Linked DNA regions of Mus musculus. The protein of the gene in region 1 interacts with the protein of each later gene in a pairwise test. Links are inferred from orthologs where the notes say so. Each region holds a gene or a part of one and is shown in the gene's direction. Other genes may lie near its edges.

Region 1 (8,908 bases):
AACAGAGACACAGCCACACTGTTGTTATCATGTGCAGCCTGAGGAGACACCTGATCTTTCTGGACTTGGCTACAGACTACAGAGTGTTCGCGACTTGGATGAGGAAAGAATTTTGTGAGGGGCCTATAAATGAATTATTCCTCTTTAAAAGAGGTTATTTATTTATCTTATGTATGTGCATACACTGTCACTGTCTTCAGGCACACCAGAAGAGGGCATCAGGTCTCATTACAGATGGTTGTGAGCTACCATGTGGTTGCTGAGATTTGAACTCAGGACCTCAGGAAGAGCAGTTAGTGCTCTTAATCACTGAGCCATCTCTCCAGCCCAAATTATTCTTTATATAAATGTTAGTAACGAATTAACCCAGTGGCTGTATTTCTTTACTTTATACATTCCTCAATAATCACATAGAAAAAACCATTTATTTAAAACTCCACTTCAGTATCTGAGCAGTTCAATCATCTGCCTTAGTTGTCTCTGCTAACTCGGCTGCCTCCCAGGCCAGCCCACAGTACTGGCATGTTGCTATTGCTCTGGCTCTTAGGGCTTCAGGTGTGCCTCCATGATCTCGCTCCTGACCCCTTCCTTCACCGCTCTAAATCTCCCATCCTCCTCACTGATCTGAATCTCCTTCTCTCCTCTCCTTCCTCTGGCTGGCCGATGTCCCACCCTATTTTCTCTTCTGCCCAGCCATTGGGTGATCAGCATTTATTGACAAGGCAGAGAATAGATGGGAAGAACTGTTTACACAAACTTGAGACAGGATATTCTTGGTATAAGCATTACAATGCCCTGTCCCAAGATTGAAACAAGATAAGAGAGCAGAGATCAGCATTTGAGTAACACAAGAGTAAAGTTTATATAATGCACAAGAACACTAGTGGCCAGTTCCTGAAGCAGAGTTTGCCAAGGTGATTTGAGATAGGCCATCATGGGGCAAGGGGGAGAGGGAGTCAAAACCGAAGCAGGCCACACGGATACACAGTCAAAAGCAGAGAGACAAACGCAGTGTCTTTCCCAGCCTGTTTTCCTTCAGCATCTCTTTTCCTGGGGATGGTGCCACCCACAATGGGCGGGGCCTTCTCATGTCACTTATGTTTGGTTTTTTGTTTTTTGTTTTTTGTTTTCCCCTGAGACAGGGTTTCGATGTATAGCCCTGGCTGTCCTGGAACTCACTTTGTAGACCAGGCTGGCCTTGAACTCAGAAGTCCTTGTGCCTCTGCCTCCCAAACGCTGGGATTAAAGGTGTGCCACCAAGCCTGGTGTCACTTATGTTTAATCAAGGTCACCCCCACAAGCAGACCAACTTCATCTAGGCACTTCATGGAGACTCTTGCTAAGCGATTCTCGGTTGTGTCAATTCGATAGTTAAAACTAATCTGATGAGATAAAGATCAGAAATCACAGGTTGTAAGAGGGTTTCATTATGTCAGTACCCTTTCCCTGTAAAGGGAATTTTTGGCAAGATTTCTAGAAAACAGTATGTTTTCACCCTGGAAAGAAGAAAAGTCTTAAAGAGTTGGTAATTGCCCTGGAATTCTCTGATAGAGAATGGCATCAGTTCCTGTGAAGGTGGCAACATCTTCTCTCCTCTCACGTCCCTCACAGCTTTTCTATCCTGACTTATTGCACACCTCACATCCCTAACCAACCCAGGACACTAAGTTTGGTAATTATAACTACGCCATGTCAAAGGTGGGGTGTGTGCAGAGGATTGGCAGGATCACAGCATATCATATCAGCACTTGGACACTGATGCAGGGGGATGGACAGAGTTCTTGCTTTTCTTTTCTGCTTCCAAGACAGGGTTTCTCTGTGTGGCCCTGGCTGTCCTGGAACTCACAGAGATCCTCCTGCCTCTGCCTACTGAGCGCTGGGATTACAGGCCTGTGCCACCATGGCCCACCTGGAATTCCATAAATTTAAGGTCAACCTGAGCTACATAGTAAGACATGGTAAAATGAAAATAGGAGAGATAGTTCAATGGTTAAGAGTACATATTGCAAACTGGGTAGTGCAGTTTTAGCCCAACCTTGCCTACGGTATGAGACCCTGTCTCAAAGAAAATAAAAAAAGTAGAGTACATACAGCTTTTGCAGAGGGCCTGAATTGCACTGCACCCAACTCTAGCCTTGGGGATTCCATGCCCTCTTCTGATTTTTATAGGCACTGTATTCCCATGCAGACACCCACACATAGACATCCACATAATTCAAAAGTAAAGATAAGTTGGTTTTATTTATTTTTATTTATTAATTTTTTTTTTGGTTTTTCGAGACAGGGTTTCTCTGTATAGCCCTGGCTGTCCTGGAACTCACTTTGTAGAGCAGGCTGGCCTGGAACTCAGAAATCTGCCTGCCTCTGGCTCCCGAGTGCTGGGATTAAAGGCGTGCGCTACCACGCCCGACCTGTTTTTATTTTTATTTTTATTTTTTTATTTATTTTTGGTTTTTTGAGACAGGGTTTCTCTGTGTAGCCCTGGCTGTCCTGGAACTCGCTCTGTAGACCAGGCTGGCCTCGAACTCATCCCGAGTGCTGGGATTAAAGGCGTGGGCCACCACGCCCGGCTCCTGTTTTTATTTTTTGAGACAGGTTTTTCTGTGTAGCTTTGGCTATCCTTTGTAGACAAGGCTTGCCTCAAACTCACCGCGATTCCCCCGCCTCTCCAGTGCTGAGATTAAAGGCGAGCACCACCACTGTCTGGCTGCTAATCTTTGTTTTTCTTTTAGGCATCAGAAAGAAGTTGGGGTGTGCAAAAGATAAGTTTGTAAATAGGTTTTAAATATAAAAATAAGTGAAGTAGATTGTTTAGTGGTTAATCACACTTACTGCTTTCACAGAAAGTGGGATATGCCAGTTTCCAAGATGGGCGAAGTGGATGAAGAGTTCCGGGCCAGGCTGGGCTCGTAGTATTGTCATTTTAAAAAAAGGAAAAAGAAAAAAAAAATTACGAAAACAGGGGGCTGGTGAGATGGCTCAGCAGGTAAGAGCACTGACTGCTCTTCCAAAGGTCCTGAGTTCAAATCCCAGCAACCACATGGTGGCTCACAACCATCCACAATGAGATCCGATGCCCTCTTCTGGTGTGTCTGAAGACAGCTACAGTGTACCTACATATAAAAATAAATAAATCTTTAAAAAAAAAAATTACGAAAACAGAACCAAAAACTTCATAGCATCAGTTAGTGGCTTTGATTCAGATTTGTCTTGCTGAAAGCAGCTAGATCACGTGACAGACTCCATACCACGTGGTCTGCCTTGGTGCCTCAGGGGTCCGCCGCCGCCCCACCGTGCTTTAGGCCTGACCCGCTTGGTGACTGTCAGACTAACTTCCGGTTTTCCTGATGCCTCCAGAGGGCAGTTTCCATAACAACCAGCTTGTGACCCCCCTCTTCGCGTGACGTCACTTCTGTTTTAGAGCGAAGGGTGCACTTGAGCGCATGCGCAAAAGGAAACCTACACAGGAAATGGTTTTTTTCTGCGCAGGCGTCTTGGTCCTGAGGGCGGAGCTTGGCTGCGCCGCGGTGCGCAGGCGCAGCCGTCGGTGGGTCGGGTCTTCGGTCGACTGAGAGGTGAGGCTGGGGGCTCCGCCGTGCCCCGTATGGGCGTCGGGGGTCTGTGGGTTTAGCTTCGCTGTGCTCGGGAGCCCCTGGGACAAAGGTGGCTTGTGATCCGGACTTCTGCTCTCTTCGGGGTCACGTGAGCGGGCGGCGCAGAGAGGAAACTGAGGCAGACAGCGTCCCAACCCACCCCCACCCCTCGTCGCTTTTTCTCACGAAAAGGTCAGCGTTTAGGTGTGTGTGGGGCGGATCTCAGTTTTCTCGGGGCCCCTAAGGTCTAAGACCCTCTTACATTGCCATTCCTCACCCTGGTGACCTTGCTTAGCCTGTTGCCTGCCCACAGCCTCAGTTTTCCTCTTCTGTACAATGGACGTTGTCACCATTGTCTGAGCAGTTGTGGGTGCTCCTTCCCATTGGGAGGGTGTGTTTGATTTTGGTGCCAAAGGTAGGTAGTGTGTGGGTTTGAAGGGCAGAGGGCCAGCTGTGCATGCTAGGGCAAATAGCTTGACCTCTCTGAGGAGGAGTTTTCTTAAAACAATGGTAAGGCAGGTGTGCTGACACATGGGCAGAGGCAGGAGTATCGTGGGACTTCCATGCTAGCAAGGACTACATACTTTGTCTCAGAAAACGAAACAACCAAAAGCAAAGACTCGAGCAAATAGTCTAGAACTTTGGTCCACAACCTATAATCCAGTCTTTCAATTGAGAGGGGGAGACAGCTGGATCGCGGGGAGTGAGTTCAGGCCCAGCCTTGGATACCTAACACGGTGGAGGTAGCTGGACCACAACGTGAGACCCTGTCTGAAAATGAAATCGACATAATTAATAGTTTGTTTGTTTTGAGACAAAGTCTTTATCTGTCTCTGGCTGTCCTGGAACTCACTATGTGAGCCAGGCTGGCCTCAGCGCCACCTCTGCCAGGACTGTAGGTGCCACCACCTCATCTGGCATCATAATTAACGTAAAAAGGATGTCAGTCTGGGCCCGTTTAGTTGTAAGCTGGGCTTGCTGGCTGTCATCCCAGCTTGTAGGAGGCTGAATCGGGAGGATGGAAGTGAAGTTCAAGGCTATGTTGGGCTACATGGTGAAATCCTCTTGTCTCAAAAGCCAGGTTGTAGTGGTGTCCGACTTTGATCCCAGCACTCAGGAGGCAGAGGCAGGAGGAGCTCTCAGAGTTCGAGGCCAGCCTCTGGTCTACAGAATGAGTTCCAGGACAGCCAGGTTGCAGAGTGAGACCCTGTCCTGAAAAACCAAAACCAAAAATGAAATGTTAGCAACAACAAAAACAAAGAAAGTCAGTTGAAATTGTTATGTCTCTGTGTCTGTCACCTGGACATTAATTGTCCTAAGGTCCATTAGCAGAGGTCTGTTAGCCTCTGTGGTGGCTGGTGAAGGCACACGTTCCCCACCAGTTGATTGAGATGACTTTCCTGTTTTGTCCCTCTGTGGTCATTTATTTGATCAGTCTTTCCTTTTATTGGTCATTCTCATCCACAGGGACAGTGTATGGGGATGTTTGTGATCGGTGTGACTGAAGGGGCTTCTGATGTGACACTGACACTGGGTGGGGGTCAGGAACATTGCCCACAGAACAGTGCTTCTGTTGGGGAAACAACTCAGTGAGCAACATGCTTGGCATGAGGGTCTGAGTTCAATTCCCTGTGGATTCCCCATGGAAAAAGCTGGGTGAGAGTGCTGGGGGCACTTGTAATTTCAGTGTGTGTGTGGGGGAGCACAAGATAGGCAGATACCGGGCTCTCTGCATAGCCTGCCTAGTCCCAACATCAGCTCCGTGTCCCAGGGACAGACACTGCCTCTAAAACATGACATGCTGCCTGGAGGGAGTATACTCACTCTTGATCTACCTTTAGTTTCCACATGTGTATGGACACACACACACACACTACACACACGCACACTACACACACATACACATACTACATCACACATTCACTCACATATACACACACAGACACCTCACACATACACACACCACATACTCACATAGACACACATTCACATAGACACACACCACACACTCACATAGACACACACAAATACATGCGCGCGCGCGCGCACGCACGCACACAAACACACACACACACATTGATGCTACTGGTAGCCGATAATGAAGCATGCCTTTAATTCTAGCACTCCAGAGGCAGACATGGGCGGATTGCCTTAAGTTTGAGGCTAGCCAGCTGTGCATACTGGGCTCTGGTGTTAAAATGGAATCCGAGCCCAGTGGCTCCTCACCGCTGAGGCCTCTGTATAGGTTGTATGGGTCCCGAGGTTGTGTGTGCATCCCATTTCTCGGGGTAAGGGATTGCCTACTGGATTAAGTACCTGGAGCCGCTGTCTGAGGTCCCAGCTGGTACTTCATGGCAGGGTGTTGGCACCACAATGAACCATACTCCAAGCCTTCTTGGTGTTTCGTTTTGAGACGGGGCCTCCTGCATCCCAGGGCTTCCTGTGTGCCGAGTGACACTCCACCCATTGGGACTTGGCCCAGGCAGCTACACTGGAGTCCTCAGCACAGAGTTGGACTCTGTGGCCGAGCCCGGCACTTGCCACACTGACCTCCAGAGAAGTTGAGAGGTTGGAGGGAACAGGCAGAGCCAGTCTGCAGCCCAGGCCACCTTTATACTGGTGGCAGTCCTCCTGCTTCGGCCTCCCACGTGCTGGGTGGCAGCTGATGCTCGGGTCTGGCTGGGCTTGGAGGGTGCTGTCTAGAGCGTGCCCTGAAGTGATCCTGCACTCCTGAGTGTGTATCTAGGAAGTTCTGGTCGTACCGAGGATTTAGGCCAAGGGTTTATCATAGTGCTTCCTGGCAGAGAGTGTGACTCCCATCTGTCACCTCCAGCCCACGTCACATACCTGCCACCCTGTGAGCAAGAGTCTCTGTGGGAATCAGCCCTATATCTTTCTGTTTGACGCAGGGGCTCATGTACTCCAGGCTGCCCTCCAACTCTGTAGCTGAGGTTAGTTAGCCCTGGACTCCTAGTCCTCCCGAGTGCTGGGATGACAAGTGTGTAGGCATGCTCTGCTTCTATATGTTTATTTTTGTTTTGTTTTAAGATTTATTCTTGATTTTGTATGTGCGTGAGAGCGAGTGCATGCATGTGCACATAGAGCCTATGGAGGCCAGAAGAGGGTGTGGGTCCTCTGGAACTGGAGTTCAGGTGGCTATGAGTAGCTCATCTAGGTGCTGAGAACTGAACCCCGGCCCTCTGGCAAAGCAGCAGTGCTCCTAAGCAGTGAGCTGTCCCTACCACCTGCTCTGTTTTCTGAGACAAACTCAGTCTGCAGCCCAGGCTGGCTTTTAACTTCCAGCAGCATCCTTGAGTGCCTAAGCCTCAGCCCCTGCTCTGTTAGGTTTTTATAAGGAGGGGGGCTGTGTTTCCCAAGAGGCTTCTCATGGCTTAGAGGCCCACCTTCTCAGCTTGGCTCTGCCACCACTGTGCTGTGGATGGCAGCTGGGGCTCAGGCTCAGGAGGTGACTGTCCAGAATGCTCTGGGTTTCACAGACTGAGATGAGGCCTGAGGCTCTCTGAGGTTTGGGAGCAGGGTAGGGCTGGGGGTGGAGCCCTCAGGTTTTCAGTCTGCTGTGTGGGGAGGAGGCCAGCCTAAAACTTTGGGGTTTTGGAGTTCCCGCTCCCTCTGTCCCCATGCAGGTGCACGTGAGGGTCTGCCAAGGTCTTTGAGGGCTGTGTGCTGTGACATCTGCTTGCCTTGCAAGTGGATATGGACTGCGGTTTGGGGAGTTGCTGTGTATGGAAGGAGGCTGGGTGGGCCTAGACAGGCAAGGCGGGGCCTATAGGGTCTCTGGGGTGAAGCCCTTCATTTTGTGGTCTCACTTGTCTTTTTATCAACTTTGTCCTGGACAGGGGCCTAGGGAAGGACACTCGTGAGTTGTGACAGGCCTAGGGAAGGACACTCGTGAGCTGTGACAGGCCTAGGGAAGGACACCCGTGAGTTGTGACAGGCCTAGGGAAGGACACTCGTGAGCTGTGACAGGCCTAGGGAAGGACACTCGTGAGCTGTGACAGGCCTAGGGAAGGACACTCGTGAGCTGTGACAGGCCTAGGGAAGGACACTCGTGAGTTGTGACAGGCCTAGGGAAGGACACTCGTGAGCTGTGCTGGGTTGGGTTTGGACTTGCATAAGCTGGGATGGAACTTGATTTGTTGAACGGGCTAATCTCAGACTTTTTCAGCCTTTTCCCTTCAGGCAGGGCACCTCTGTCTCTGAAACTAGGTTGGTGGCCAGCAAAACCCAGCCATCCTCCTGTCTCCACTCATGCACCTGGCACGCAGGTTACTGATCTGTTCATACAGCCACAGCTAGCGTATAGGGTGGGTGCTGGGGGCCTGAGTCAGGGCCTTCCACCTGCCTAGCAGGGTCAGTTACCCACTTGGCCACCTCACCTGTCCCAGGGTTTGGGGTTTGATTGAGACAAGGACAGTAAATCTGAGGCTGGGTGGCCACACTATGTCAGAAAGAGTGGAAGGGGGAAAGAGGTGTGCAGACAGCTGTGAGGAGCTAAGTTTCCTCCTATATAGGGGAACTCTGGGACCCGGTCCTGTTGCCCCCTCACCCCTGTGCCCCACAGACCAAACCATGCCTGGCTGGTGGGCAGCTATACTCATAAAGCCCACACTGTTCTGAGATAATAGGCCTTTGAGACTTTTGTCCCTTAGCCAGAACCTTCCCAAACCCTGCGGGCCCGGGATGTGAGAACTGGGGCCTCATGACCACAGAGAGAGGTCAATGGATGTCGGTTGCTGGACACCCCCAGGGGAGGCGATTCATGCCCCAAGTGTCAGTGGTTCACAGCTGGGTGGGGTCTTGTCAGGGCCACTGTTCCCTTTTGAGTGGTGACAGTGCCTGTCAGTAGCTGGCCCACAGACCCGTGCTGTCACAGAGGACCTGCACATCAGGTCTGGTACTGCAGCAGAAAGTTCCACCCTTTTCCCGAGGACCTCCACGCCCTCCGTGGAGGATAGATGTTCTCTGATGGGGCATGCATCCCTCATCTTAGCCCACTCCAGACCAGGAGCTCCCTGCTCAGACATCACCCAGGGTTCCCTGACTCCACCTAGCCCTGGGTTAGAGTGTATCACTGTGCCTAGCTTCATACATCGGTGCTAGGGATTTGAACTCAGGTCCTCATGTTTGCAGAGCAAGCACTGTGCTCTCTAAGCCATCTTCCAGCCCTAGTTATTTCCGTTTGTGTGCATGTGTAGGTGCTGTGTTGCTGTCTGTGTGATGGTCAGAGGACAGCTCAGGAGTCAGCTCTCTCCTCCATGTGGGACCCAGGGATGGAACTATGTTGCCAGGCTTGG
Region 2 (3,500 bases), on another chromosome or scaffold:
ACTGTTTTGCTCAGCTTGATTCCTTATAGAACCCAAGACCACCAGCCTAGGGATGGCACCACCTACAATAGGCTGGGTCCTTCCCCAATGGTTGATAATTGAGAAAATGCCTGACAGCCTGAGCTTATGGAAGCATTTTCTCAAACAGGGTCCCGTCCTTTTAGATGACATTAGCTTGAGTTGACATAAAAACTAGCCAGCACAATGGTGATTGTTTCTTTTGCTCTGTGGTCCCCAGAACTAGATGGGTTTGACTTGGAAGATGCCTTGGATGATCGAAATGATCTAGATGGTCCCAAAAAGCCAAGTGCAGGAGAAGCAGGAGGTAAGTTCTAGATGCTTGGATGCTTGATATCACAGGCCAGTGCTACAGTTCCTGGTAGGGTCTGTCCTATTACCTGTAATAGAATTCTGAGCCATCTAGAGTACTGTAGATCCAGGCCACTTCAAGCTGTAGGAGAGCCCTACAATAGTAATACTGATATATTTTGATCTTGGGATTCTCCAAATTATTGGGAATTTCAATAACTTTTGTCTATGTGGATCATATCCATCCGAGTTTAACATCTGTATATATTTTTTTAAAAATTCAGTATTATTAGTGTAAAATGATTAATACTAAATAATAATATTAATATAAATAGCACATTGTATGAGAAATTTTTGTGGCAAGATAAAAACAGTTTAGTGAGAGAGTGGCATTATTTTACATTTCTTAGAAATTTCTAGAATGTCAATCTTCCTAGGAGATACCTGGATTTTCATATTGAGATATGTAGCTTGAAAGCTGTCCTCTGACCTACACATGTGTATTGTGGCATATGCATTCCTGCACACACACACACACACACACACACACACACACACTTAAATGCCATTACATTTAAAAGGGTTTTAAAACAAACAGGTGTCATGGGGGGTGGGCTACATCACGTGGAGACAAGGGGGTGGGGAGGAGGATGGGATATGGAAGAGTTGGAGGGTGGAGACGGGGAGGATAAAATATGGAGTGTAAAAAATTAATTAATTAAAACATATTAAAAAACAAAAAAACCCAAACATGAATGAAAAATACATTTTAACAAATGTTTAGTAACCTTACCTTACTCAGTTCCCCTTTAATTCCTTTTCTGGTTGCCCTGAGCACATGACTGGCAAGCAACGGGAAGAGGAAGGATCCATCCAGCCTATCGTTTCCGAAGTGATGGGGCCCCAATCTGACTCAGCTGTTCACATTGTAGCCACACCAGGAAGCAACGACACAGAGACAGCAAGTGGGCTAGCGGAGCTCAAATGTCAGCTTCCAGTGACATATTTCCAAAAAACAGGGCTCAAGTGTCCCAATGCATGAGGGTCATTTCAGATTTGAACTACAGTACCCATTCAATGGACTTGTGCCTATTTGTTGTTTTGTAACATTGCACGTTAGTTGTTTGGAAAACCGTGTTTGCTTAAGGTTTATCAAACGTCAGTGTAATGCCACACACTATAATAAAAAAAAAAAAAAACAAAATCTAATTCGCTGCTAACACCATCAATACTACTGGCAAAAGTATTTAGTCGGATACTATTAGAGTCATGGTAGCTTATAAAGGCTTCAGTAGAAATCTTGTTGACAAGTGCTATAGGTGGCTGTCCTCAACTGATGGACTCATTTCATTCAGTTGTAAGAAATGCTTCCCAAATAATCAAGTCGGTACAGCATTCATTCTGCCTGACAAAAGTGGTTTCATGACACAAAGCTGATAAAGCCAACTAAGAAAAGGTCCAGTGACCCAAGGGACTTTGCAAATCACCCTCAGTACTTTGGAATACAGTGGAAAGGCTTTAAGCACATTTTGCACACAAAGCATTAGGATGTTCAGAAAGATGTGTACTTAATAGTTGAACTATTTAATGGTGATTCTGCTTCTTGTATTGATTATCTATGATTCACAAATCATGTGAAAGTTGAGGAGATTTATTTTTATATAAATGTGTTAAGATTTCCTTCGTTCACTTAAGAAGCTGAGTTTTCTATAGGGTCAGAGTCTCCGCTGCAATCAAGGTACTCGGATGGAGTCTCATCTGAGCTTAGATTCTCTTCAAAACAAGGTCATGTGGTTGTTGATAGAGTATCTTTCTCTTCAGCTATAGAGGCAGTGAGTGGCTCTTTTAAGAGAAGCGAGAGAAAGAAAAGAGACTTTAACGTCTAGTGTCTGAGCTTAGGCATGCCCTAAACTAGCTTCGAAAGAGTTCACTTGGCTGATTGAGGTCCTTAATTACTTTGACAAAAATCACTTTGAGCTTAATCACTAGGATCATATTCATTCTCTCTGGGACCACACACACACTCAAGGTGATTGGAGGTTCGGCAGAACACATACGCTGGCAGTGAGCAATCTGAGGGGCTAGTTGGAATTTTTGCCTACTACCATCATCCTTTTTCATCTTCCTGCTCCTCCTCCTCCCCTTCCTCTTCCTTCTTCCCGAATCCCTCCTTAGTTTGGGCACAAGGCCTGGTTCTCAGGGCCTTCTATCTGCTGTACCACTGAACCAGAATCCCGGTACCATGAAGAATACCCACATGTCATGGACAACATTTACTAATCCAAGTATTTGCTGCAAAGATTTTTTTTTGCCAGTGAAATGTATGGGGTTTCTTTCATAGGTTGGTCAGACAAGGATCTTGAAGACATCGTGGAAGGTGGGGGATACAAACCTGACAAGAATAAAGGTAGGAGTATTGCTTTGTCTGATAACAGACCAAATTCTCCTTAAAATGTTGACCATTTGGCCTTCAGGTAAAACATGCCATTCTTAGCCTCTGGAAAATCAGGCTTAGTCATTTGCACTTGTAAGGTGGAGAGGGCTCTCATTCCTGTGGGTGGGAGCCCATTTGTAAGCCATCCTGGAGAAGCTGTCCATTTGCCCTGTTGTTCTTTAAACCAAGGTACTTCATGAGCTAGTATCCCCACAACCTGGGTGCACCTTATAAGGCAGCAGCAAGGACAGTGGCCTGTAGTAGGACAGTCACATGGAGCATCATAGTATCAAGGAGACAGCCCTTGATACAAATGCTTGGAGAGCCATTTTTCTATGCAGTGTGAGGGTTGCCATGTTAAGCAAACATGGCAAACATTTTAAAGAAGCCCCTAGCAAATCAGATTTTTACAAAATATCTTTGCATTCTATTTCCCCTTCCCAGGAAAATTCATGCTTCCCTCCTGGTAGACTAGAGGCAGTGGAAACTGTCCTTGGGAGGTGTTGTATGAAAGAAGAATCTATTTTCAATTTAAAAAGACAAAACAAACAAACAAACAAACAAATCCCACATCCTTCCCCACTAGGCCCTAGCCCTGAGCACTGCTTATCAGCCAATAGAGTTCATTCTTACTGTAAAGATCACAGAATTTGCAACAGAATTTCAATGTAGCCTTCCCTGAAGTTTGACTGTGTCTAAATGTGTAAGAAAACTAAACCATGGGATCAGACTCTCTCGAAGTTCTGATCTAGTCTGA
Region 3 (3,443 bases), on another chromosome or scaffold:
TGTATCATCTGGCAGGCTGAAACATGACACCTGCATTAGGATGAAAAGGGTAACTTTAGAATTAAGCAACTGATCATGTATGTTGTGTACTGATATGTGACCTTCCTTTTTTCAGAATGCTGTGTCCTCTGAAGAAAAGGATGACTTTAAGCAAGAAGTAAGTTCTCACATTCACTGAGACCTATTTTTAGAGACACCGAGGAAGCCACCACATCATTTTCTTCAGATTGTCAGTCCCTTAGAAAGTATCCAAGTAAATCTCCATTCAAAAACTTGCTTAGAGGGGCTCTGTGTTCATTCATCACCAAAATACACAGGCTCTTCAGAGAAGTTTAGTGTTACAGAAAGTGCCTACTCGTGCCTGCTATTTGAAACTTTAAGCCTCTTGTAAAATATGAAAATACGAAAAGAAGTTTACAGTATTTTAACTAATATTTGATGACTATATCATCAATGCTTAGCCAAGCCAAGATACTTTAAAGTGTTCATGTTGATAATATTAAAGATTATTTAATAAGTGTTCTTTCCCTATTTGCTGACTAAATAAATAAAAATTTCCCTCAAGATTAAATTTAACATAGAGACAATTTATGATAAGAAAAACTAGATCAAAAGAACCATAACTTTTGTAGATTTGTAGATTAATAGATTTTAATCTCTAGTTCACTGTATGGATTTTGGCTACAGTTTGTACACCCATGTATAACAGAGCCATTTCTTAACTACCTTTGACAACAGGGAGGCAATTATAGATTTTGATCTTTATATTAATATACAGATGATCTGATGTCTTAGGGAACTATGTTTCAGATTAAAGAAACTCAATCTAGCAATTTTTTGAATTTAGTAAATTAATAATGTATACTATTTACAAGGAAATATGTGTTATCAATATGAATGTTTTACTTTTAAGTTTGACTTGAAAATATCTAAGAAAGTGATATTTTATTTAAAAGACAAAAAAAGTGCCTCAGAATGTTATTTCATTTGTTTGTGTGTTAAAAAGCAAACAAGAGGCCCATTTCATTAGCTTAAAACCATAGAATGTAATGTAAACACAAAGACTTTGAAATTCAATTAAAATGTTTCAACGAAGCTATTGTAGTCTAAAACCCAAGCGCTAATTTACTGAGCCAACTTGCTTTGTGATTTAGACTCTTCCAAGCAATTCCAATGAAAGCCATGACCACATGGACGACGATGATGACGATGATGATGACGATGGAGACCATGCAGAGAGCGAGGATTCTGTGGACTCGGATGAATCTGACGAATCTCACCATTCGGATGAGTCTGATGAGACCGTCACTGCTAGTACACAAGCAGACACTTTCACTCCAATCGTCCCTACAGTCGATGTCCCCAACGGCCGAGGTGATAGCTTGGCTTATGGACTGAGGTCAAAGTCTAGGAGTTTCCAGGTTTCTGATGAACAGGTAAATGATGAACAGACATGTTGAAGGGCTATGGCTTGATCTCACTTCTAGGAAACCAGAGTCTGCAGATTCACTCACTCTTCATCAAGCACTGTACATTTATATGAAATCTACTGTATGACCTTTGAATACAGAGCTTTTTTTTTTTAATGGTCCTGTTTAAAAGTGTGTGTGATGTCTTTTTAATTTTACCTATCGCACACAATGTCATCTTTCCATATTCAAAGTCTTAGCAATATTTAAGAGCAATTTATGTTATTAAATAGCTACTTTGGAAAATAGCAATTATATGTTAAAAATAATGGCCATATATAGAAAACAGTCATATATAATGGAAGCTAAGTGGGTAAGAGGAATTGTAAAGTCACTGTTACAATGAACTTAGTCCGGCTTAGACTTAGCCTTGGCGTTACTGTTCAGTTTAACTTTAACGCTCAATGCCTTTTCATCAGAGATAGAACCTTATAGGTTTTAACACACACAAAGATGATATCCCTATTAAACCAGAAATGATTGATATGAAGCTGACTGGTGAAATATAAAGTACACACTAATATTATTTTTCTTCAGTCAAAATTTTAAAAATATTCAGTACAGTTTGACCTAAAAGTTAGAGATCAAAGCATTATGATGCTCTTGTTCCTGTCTGTTTATATAATTCTTCAATTTGTTCTTGATTCAGTATCCTGATGCCACAGATGAGGACCTCACCTCTCACATGAAGAGCGGTGAGTCTAAGGAGTCCCTCGATGTCATCCCTGTTGCCCAGCTTCTGAGCATGCCCTCTGATCAGGACAACAACGGAAAGGGCAGCCATGAGTCAAGTCAGCTGGATGAACCAAGTCTGGAAACACACAGACTTGAGCATTCCAAAGAGAGCCAGGAGAGTGCCGATCAGTCGGATGTGATCGATAGTCAAGCAAGTTCCAAAGCCAGCCTGGAACATCAGAGCCACAAGTTTCACAGCCACAAGGACAAGCTAGTCCTAGACCCTAAGAGTAAGGAAGATGATAGGTATCTGAAATTCCGAATTTCTCATGAATTAGAGAGTTCATCTTCTGAGGTCAACTAAAGAAGAGGCAAAAACACAGTTCCTTACTTTGCATTTAGTAAAAACAAGAAAAAGTGTTAGTGAGGGTTAAGCAGGAATACTAACTGCTCATTTCTCAGTTCAGTGGATATATGTATGTAGAGAAAGAGAGGTAATATTTTGGGCTCTTAGCTTAGTCTGTTGTTTCATGCAAACACCGTTGTAACCAAAAGCTTCTGCACTTTGCTTCTGTTCTTCCTGTACAAGAAATGCAAACGGCCACTGCATTTTAATGATTGTTATTCTTTTATGAATAAAATGTATGTAGAAACAAGCAAATTTACTGAAACAAGCAGAATTAAAAGAGAAACTGTAACAGTCTATATCACTATACCCTTTTAGTTTTATAATTAGCATATATTTTGTTGTGATTATTTTTTTTGTTGGTGTGAATAAATCTTGTAACGAATGTAAGGAGTCTGGTGGTGTCAATTATTCTTTATTAGTTTCTCAAAATTATTTTGTAATGTCTAAAATATAACCATTTCAATGGACATGCCCAGTTTAATTAAAGCCATTTAGGGTTTTAATGGTCAGAGGAACACAGATTACCCGGGAGTTGACAGCAGCCAGAACCTACAAGGCTCCCTCAGGAAATATTCTCACCTAAGTATGACATATACTAATTAATATATGAGCGAGCAAAAGCTTGAAACTTGAATGGAATTAGAAGTTGATTGTTTATGTTTTCTATCATCTTTGCTCAGTAAATGTGTGGCTTTCTTGCCCTAATAGAACCTTGTGTCTGTCTTCTAGCTATTCTAGTAATTCTTAGGTAAGAATGTGTGCGTGCTTCTGTGTGTGTGTGTGTGTGTGTGTGTGTGTGTGTGTGTGTGTGTGTGGTGTGTGTGTTTCAATTGAAAACCAACGTTCTCAGTTTCATCCAAATATGAACTTTCAGAAATATTGTAGTGCCA

What was found.
Region 2: the proteins of Sgta (region 1) and Cd99l2 interact in binary tests that used the Homo sapiens proteins (3 or more experiments, as listed by UniProt). The two-hybrid records come from large-scale screens. The link is inferred for Mus musculus from reciprocal best matches to the Homo sapiens genes SGTA and CD99L2.
Region 3: the proteins of Sgta (region 1) and Spp1 interact in binary tests that used the Homo sapiens proteins (3 or more experiments, as listed by UniProt). The link is inferred for Mus musculus from reciprocal best matches to the Homo sapiens genes SGTA and SPP1.

What each region holds. Positions count from the first base shown.
Region 1 is NC_000076.6:81,054,795-81,063,702, reverse strand, and holds the start of Sgta (small glutamine-rich tetratricopeptide repeat-containing protein alpha), read left to right. Parts: upstream 1-3,431; 5' UTR 3,432-3,575; exon of another isoform or gene 3,576-3,785; intron 3,786-8,908. UniProt on the Homo sapiens protein: Co-chaperone that binds misfolded and hydrophobic patches-containing client proteins in the cytosol. Mediates their targeting to the endoplasmic reticulum but also regulates their sorting to the proteasome when targeting fails.
Region 2 is NC_000086.7:71,437,350-71,440,849, reverse strand, and holds part of Cd99l2 (CD99 antigen-like protein 2 isoform 1 precursor), read left to right. Parts: intron 1-238; coding exon 239-325; intron 326-2,650; coding exon 2,651-2,716; intron 2,717-3,500. UniProt on the Homo sapiens protein: Plays a role in a late step of leukocyte extravasation helping cells to overcome the endothelial basement membrane. Acts at the same site as, but independently of, PECAM1.
Region 3 is NC_000071.6:104,438,111-104,441,553, forward strand, and holds the end of Spp1 (osteopontin isoform 4 precursor), read left to right. Parts: intron 1-115; coding exon 116-157; intron 158-1,154; coding exon 1,155-1,436; intron 1,437-2,118; coding exon 2,119-2,508; 3' UTR 2,509-2,943; downstream 2,944-3,443. UniProt on the Homo sapiens protein: Major non-collagenous bone protein that binds tightly to hydroxyapatite. Appears to form an integral part of the mineralized matrix. Probably important to cell-matrix interaction.